Linked DNA regions of Mus musculus. The protein of the gene in region 1 interacts with the protein of each later gene in a pairwise test. Links are inferred from orthologs where the notes say so. Each region holds a gene or a part of one and is shown in the gene's direction. Other genes may lie near its edges.

Region 1 (3,747 bases):
TGACTCCTGGAGCAGCGTATGGAAGTGGGGAAAGAATATTGGTGATGTGCTTGCCTTGCAGTCTCGCAGTCATGAGCTCCCAGAGTTGAGTCCTCCTCCTACCAATCAAAAAGCTGTGGGGCACGGGATTCCTTAAGAGAGACTGCTCTTTCCCTCAGGGTCCTAGCGGAATGGCATCCCAGGAGTGCCCTACTACCTCCAAAGCTGAGACTGATGATGACGATGATGACGATGATGATGACGACGACGAAGATAACGAGGAAAGTGAGGAGGAGGAGGAGGAGGAAGAGGAGGAGAAAGAGGCTACTGAAGATGAAGATGAGGATCTAGAACAGTTGCAGGAAGATCAGGGGGGTGATGAAGAAGAGGAAGGAGGAGGTATATGCGTAAACGGAGCTCCTCTGTGGGGAGCATCCTTGTGGTGTTAGTTCTGCTCTGTCGGACATGAGCTCCTTGTTGAGCCTTTCCCTCCCTTCCTCCCTCCCTCCCTCCCTCCCTCCCTCCCTCCCTCCCTCCCTCCCTTCCTTCCTTCCTTCCTTCCTTCCTTCCTTCCTTCCTCCTCCTCCTCTTCCTCCTCCTATGCCCTTTTTTTTTTTTTTAAAGATTTATTGATTATTATATGTAAGTATACTGTAGCTGTCTTCAGACACACCAGAAGAGGGCGTCAGATCTCGTTACGGATGGTTGTGAGCCACCATGTGGTTGCTGGGACTTGAACACTGGACCTTTGGAAGAGCAGTCCGGTGCTCTTACCCACTGAGCCATCTCTCCAGCCCTCTCCTATGTCCTTTGCACAGCCCCTCTATCCCTGTTCCTCATCCACCCCTCCCCTTTCTTTTCCAGATAATGAAGGAAATGAGAGTCCCACATCGCCTTCAGACTTTTTCCATAGAAGGAATTCAGAGCCTGCAGAAGGGCTCAGGACCCCCGAGGGGCAGCAAAAGAGAGGACTGACAGAGACCCCAGCATCCCCGCCAGGGGCATCCCTGGACCCTCCCAGCACTGACGCTGAGAGCAGTGGAGAGCAGCTCCTCGAGCCGCTCCTGGGAGACGAGAGTCCTGTGTCCCAGCTCGCTGAGCTAGAGATGGAAGCTTTGCCTGAGGAAAGGGACATTTCCTCCTCCAGGAAAAAGTCGGAAGATTCCCTCCCCACCATCTTGGAAAATGGGGCAGCTGTGGTTACCTCTACATCTGTCAATGGGCGTGTCTCTTCTCACACTTGGAGAGATGCCAGTCCCCCCAGCAAGAGATTTCGGAAGGAAAAGAAGCAACTGGGCTCTGGACTGTTAGGAAACAGGTAATAGTGGGTGAGGAGGAAGGCAGGCAAGGAGGCAGGACTCTCTGAAGGGAGCCTGATGTCCTAGGTCTCCCTGCAGCCTCAGGCCCTTTCTGTCATTTTTCTTCTGTCCTTAGCTATATAAAAGAACCGATGGCACAGCAGGACAGTGGGCAGAACACAAGTGTCCAGCCTATGCCATCCCCCCCCTTGGCCTCTGTGGCTTCTGTCGCTGATTCCTCCACAAGGGTGGACTCTCCCAGCCATGAACTGGTGACCAGCTCTCTGTGCAGCCCTTCTCCATCCCTGCTTCTCCAGACACCCCAGGCTCAGTCTCTCCGGCAGTGTATTTATAAGGTGAGTGGGCAGTGTCCCCTGGCACTGCATTCTCACCCTTTCCCTTTCTGTGGGTATTGCACCTCCTGCTCCTCTGTTTTCCCCATCTTCCTGCCCGCCCGCAAGTGCGTGCACGTGCATGCATGCTTGTGTAGTGACAGTTTTGGAATTTTGGCGTCTTTATAACAACTCAGAGCTGAGTGGTAGCGACACATGCCTTTGATCCTGGGAGGCAGAGGCAGGAGCATCTCTCTTGAGTCTGAGGCCAGCCTGGTTTACAAAGTGTGTCCCAGGACAGCCAGGGCCACACAGAGAAACTGTCTAAAACCCAAAAACCAACTAACTGACAAACAAAAAACCAGTGAAATAGGTTTTCATTTTAATCCCGGTGTGGAGTGTGGGGCTGCTTCCAACTGACTGTGACTGTGAGCTCTAGAGGTGTGGCTTTACCAGCTACAGATAGTTGCTTTGGTTGTGTGAAGTGATGTTTGGAATTCTGGGAACTTTTCAGGAGAGCATATAAATGGCAGAGCCTCCCCACCTTCCAGGAAGCATGGTTGGTGGTAGTACAGGGGTTGGTTGTGGTTTGTTAGTAGTCTTGCTCAAAGAACAAACAGGAAGAGAGACATTAGAATCAGAGATCCTGTCTCTCCTGTCTATCCTTTCTTTTCTATCTAGTGATGGGGGCGGATAAAGGGGAGGAAAAAGAACACACAAAGTCTCAAAGACTGGCTGTGTGTGTGTGTGTGTGTGTGTGTGTGTGTGTGTGTGTGTTTAGGTTTAACCCCATCAACCAGGAGGCAGAGGCATACAGGTCTCTCTAACTTCAAGGCCACAGTCTAGTCTACCCAGTGACAGTCAAGGTTACATAGTGAGACCATGTAAAACAAAACAAAAAAGACTTATTTTATGTAAATAGGTGTTTTGTTGGCATGCATACCTATGTGCTACATTTGTGTCTGGTGCTCATGGAGGCCAGAAGAGGGCGTCTGATCCTATAGATCTGGAGTCACGGAGAAGGCAGAGAGCCGCCATGTGAGACTGGATACAACACTCGGGTCTTCTGCAAAGCAGCTGCGTGCTTAGTGGCTGAGCCATCTTCCAGCCTTCCATCCTGCTTTGTTTTGTTTCTGAGACAAGGTCTTTCTATGTAGCCCTGACTGTCCCAGAACTCTGTATGTAGTAGATCAGGCTGGCCCCAAACTCGGATATCAGCCCGCCTCTGCCTCTTGAGTGTTCGGACTAAAGGCGTGAGCCGCCATGCCTGGCTCACCCTTCTTTCTCCTCTGACTTGTCTGCAGACCAGTGTGGCCACACAGTGCGACCCGGAGGAGATCATCGTGCTTTCAGACTCTGATTAGCAGGCCCCATGCTCCCCGTGCTCCCTGCATCCAGAAGGTTTTTTGTATGGCTGTTGGAAGATGATGGAGTAAAAGATGGACAGAGCTCCTCCCGTTTTGATGGTGTTTCTTTTGACAAAAAAAAAAAATCAAAATGTTTTAAGTTTTACACAGACACATTAATAAACAATGAATTTCTTTTTATTGTATTCTTTCCTTTACTTTGCCTTTTCTCTTGTGACAGCTGTCACCTGGATCTGCCTTTTCTATCCTGGCTCTCTTTTTAGGGCGTCCTCATCCTTAACCCTTCCTTGAGCCTTCTTCCCCTAGGCACTTTTAAAGATAAGTGCTTCGGAAGCCTTCTTAAGCAGCTTTCCTCTCTCGTTTTGAGCGGTCTGAGTGAAAAGGCCAATCAGGGGCTGACTCAAGGTGATTTGGCCAATCCAGGCCTGGAGGAGGGGGGCGGGGCTTGGGGGGTTCTCATATGCTGGGAAAAGGGCTGTTAGATCCCGCGAGCAAGCTAACGTCCAGAGCTCGGGGTGGAGCCTGGGAAGCGGAAGCCAGCACTGGTCAATGAGACAAGGTAGGCTTGTCGGATTAAAGGGGAACGAAGGTTTCGGCCAAACCAATTCCTGAGTCCTCAGCCGCAGACGGGACCTGGTACCTTTAAGGCGGAATGAAGCGCCGGTTCTTTAAAGGAAAAGTGTCGCTGTCGGTCGACTTTTGCCCAGCGGCACAGGAGGGGTGCTGGCCTGCGCCTTTAAGGTCGCAGGTCCGGGAGGCGGAGTGGAGGCG
Region 2 (3,647 bases), on another chromosome or scaffold:
ACATTCACCACATATCTGGAGTTTATCAAGAGTGCCAGGAATGTTGTAGCCATTGTGCCTATACACACAGCCTCCTTTATTCTACATCACAGTACTCTGAGGAACACTTAACCAGACTTACTGTACAGAGCAGTAAATTAAGGCAAAAGGGAAGGTATCTTATCAAGGGCTGCAGGTAGCAAGTTGTGCATCAAGGTTGAACCCAAGTCCTTCTGATGTACTCTTTACTTCTCTATTAAGGGAGTCAGCTCACATCACATGGGGGGAGGGGGGCTTGATAAGGAGTGAGAATGGATTCTCTCAGGTCCCAGTGTCTCCAACTGTAAACATTCTCCTTTTCTAGGCTACGGTATCGAGCATGCTCAGTGTGTTCCTCCCTCAGAGTTCTCAGAGCCCAGCTTCATCACAGAGTCCTATCAGACGCTGCATCCTATCAGCTCGGAAGAACTCCTGTCCCTCAAGTATGAGAACGACTACCCTTCTGTCATTCTCCAGGACCCTCTCCAGACAGACACCTTGCAGACAGACTACTTTGCCATCAAGCAAGAGGTGTTAACTCCAGACAACATGTGCCTGGGGAGAGCCAGTCGTGGTAGGTCAATTTTACTTTCAGACTCCTTGGCTGTACAAAAATTGCCTCGGTTCCTTCATTGTCCAGGTCCCGTTTTGCTCACTTATCACTCCTTTATTCACCAGTCTTAGCTTTTCATTTTTTCAAGTGTATGGACAAGAAGACTTTTCTGCCGTGAGATTTTAGCTTTATCCAGTATGATGACAGAGACCTTGGGGTCCATGATGGAACTGAGCATGGCAGAGTAATAATCAAATGTGTTATCAGGGTACACGGTTTGCCTACATATTACTTCTAGTTGGACTTTGAAAGGCAGGCTGCAGTTTCTTTAAGATAGTTTTGCTTGAGATCATAATCTTGAAATTTGGCCTGTGCTTTGGCAGCCTTTCAGGGTTCACCTGGGTCATACTGTAGACCCTGGACTGGTACCCGGGATGACCCTCGCTGCTCATCCTGGGAAATTAGCCACTTGTGACTTCTTTGGTTTGGGAAGATACAAGATGGTTAACCAGTGGTTTATTTGGAACTGGTCATCAACAGCCTGGTGAAAGTATGTATTTAGCTAGGAGACCAGGGGAAAGGTGGCCAGTGGCTTCCAAAAGAAGGTACTCTTGTTGACAAGGCTATTATAGCAGTGATAAATAGTCGCTGGCAGTGAAGTCAGTGTTTGAAAATAGGTCTCGCTGACCTGATGCCCCAGAGGTAAGATGTACCTGATGTTGAACCCATGGCCTTGAACATCGCACTCTGAGAAGGAGCCTGTTCTGATGATCTTGTTGCTGAGAAAAGTGAAGTCTGATAGAAGGAGGGCCTTCTTCACCCAGGAAAAGCCTAGTAGTTTCTGAAAAGCCTAGAAATGACTTTCCTGGTGGGAAAGTATTAAGACAGGAAGAGGAGAGTAGTGATTCTTGCTCTCCGAATGACTCCCCGTGCTACCTGCTCAATGTGACCCATCCCTCCTGTGCTAGGGATGCTCTTTAACTGCAGCTCCTCTTTGCTCCCAGCCTGCCTTGCGAGAGCTCTCTGGCCTCGTACAGGGAAAGTCCCTGCAAAATCAGTACCCAGAATGTCCATCTTATGCTCCTAGGTTGTTTTTGTTTTAAACTAAAGGGAATGGGTGGGACCGGGTCTGTCTTCCCCTTTTCTGCCTGTCTTATTTTTGGGTACATGTCTATTTAAATACATACCCTCAAGTGTGTGCATCTGTGCACTTCTTCTTAAGCAGGTTGAAGCCTTAGCAACATTTTTTTTCCCTCGTGGGGCTGTCTCTCTGTATATTTAAGGAGACCGAGTTGTGGGTTTGGGGTTCAGCCGTGTTGTAAATCTGTGTACATCTGTAATCATACCACTTTACAATTGTGGCTGGTTTTGCATTTGTGGAAATGCCCTCCTTTCCCTTTCCTCATCTTGGTTCTTGGATCCTCACTACCCTTCAAACCCTATCTAATGATTATAAACCCCAACTGATCCTTACCGAAGGACGTCAGGTATTTCTTTGTGGCTCTCCTGTCCTTCAGTTCCTCCAAGCTCAGGCCACAGACTTAAGGGGAAGACCAGCTTGTGCAAGCCTGCTTGCTGCCTGGTAGATGTGCTGTGACACGGCTGGCCAAAGGGCCATTGATTCTGACTGTTGTGATTGGTCTAGACTGAAGACATTACTGTTAGCTGACTATTAATAATCGCAGTATTCAGATGCTGTGTTACAGTATACAAAGTACTTCTCTGTCCCACTTATTTGAGCTCTAAGGCCTGTCTTTGTGTAAGTCTTTTCTGTGGGTGGCTGTGAGGCTACCCGTCTCCTGTTCAGAGTGCTGTTCGGTGGACTCAATTAGCTTTGGAAGGACCTTGCAGAGGCTTTTCTTAGAGAAGACAGTCAGTACTAGTCTCAGGGATGCGTGCCTCCCGGATCGAACAGAGAAGCAGAACCTAATCCTTTTGGATTCAAGTCAGTGTTTTGGGGAAAATACCCGTTAATGAAGGCTTCCAGCTCCAGGGTTGTGAAATAGAACTAAGACTAAAGCTGCCCTCCACGCTAAACCACAGTCTGAACCGAGAACCATCTGGTGAGGCTGCAAGAGAGTGGTGACGCCTACCTTAGCACTTAAGCTAAATGAAGCCCTTTCAGATCCTGGCCCTCCACATACAAAAATGGCTGAAGAGATAAGAAAAACTCCAAGAGCCTGAAGCATAGGGAATACCTACTTATGGGTGACTCAGAGGGCAGGCCATCCTCCGTGGAAACACGGTTTTCCTTCTTAGGCTTTTGGTGTGTTTGTGCTAGAGTGAAATGGAATGGCAGTTAGCATCTATAGCTAGGATGAGAACACACCTTTGATGAGATACCAGGGAACTCTCTGCCCTGCTAAGAAGCCCGTGGCATTCCGTGAGGGTGGGGGTGCTGCTTTCCTGAGAAATTTAATGTGACTTAAAAAATGAGTAATGGAAAGGGACTAGTTTGGTACAGTCATGGCCACTCGTTCCTTAGGCTCTGATTTGCTTTGTGAACATTGCCTTCTTTTGAGCAGAGGGTGGAGTGAGAGCTGGCATTTCTGTCTTCATCACTACAGGAGAGAGCAGAAGGGCAGAATGTTCACAGCAGACATACTTGTTTATCTGGGACTACTTCTTTAATTTTGAGAACAATAGCTTCCCCTTGTATTCGACTTTGATTTGGGAAGCTGCTTCTGTCTGAGCATTGTTTTCTTAACCAGTCCTCAGCCAGAAAGAAGCTCGCTGATGTGGTTGGAGAAGACCCTCTTCCTCTTCAGGGTTTAGCCAGCTTCGCACGGTCGAGAAGCGACTTGAGGGCACTCCTGCACAGGCTTTTCTTACCTCTCTCCATCTCCTAGCGTACGTTGGGTAGGAGTGGCCATCCCATCTCCTGCGGTCTGCCGCGAGCTGCCTGGGAAGCAGCTGGTCATTGGCCGTAACAAATGTTCCTGGGGTCCCTTGTAATTCTTCAGTGTATTTATTTTCTCTTAAAGCTTCCATGTTAGCCCCCCCCCCCCCTTTTAATGCCATTTTTACCAGTGGAGACTTCTCCAGCAATGCTTGCCCAACTGCAGTGGCTGTGTAT

What was found.
Region 2: the proteins of Daxx (region 1) and Ets1 interact in binary tests that used the Homo sapiens proteins (3 or more experiments, as listed by UniProt). The link is inferred for Mus musculus from reciprocal best matches to the Homo sapiens genes DAXX and ETS1.

What each region holds. Positions count from the first base shown.
Region 1 is NC_000083.6:33,912,430-33,916,176, forward strand, and holds the end of Daxx (death domain-associated protein 6), read left to right. Parts: intron 1-158; coding exon 159-378; intron 379-843; coding exon 844-1,297; intron 1,298-1,376; exon of another isoform or gene 1,377-1,413; coding exon 1,414-1,633; intron 1,634-2,913; coding exon 2,914-2,973; 3' UTR 2,974-3,161; downstream 3,162-3,747. UniProt on the Homo sapiens protein: Transcription corepressor known to repress transcriptional potential of several sumoylated transcription factors. Down-regulates basal and activated transcription.
Region 2 is NC_000075.6:32,733,597-32,737,243, forward strand, and holds part of Ets1 (protein C-ets-1), read left to right. Parts: intron 1-343; coding exon 344-592; intron 593-3,647. UniProt on the Homo sapiens protein: Transcription factor. Directly controls the expression of cytokine and chemokine genes in a wide variety of different cellular contexts. May control the differentiation, survival and proliferation of lymphoid cells.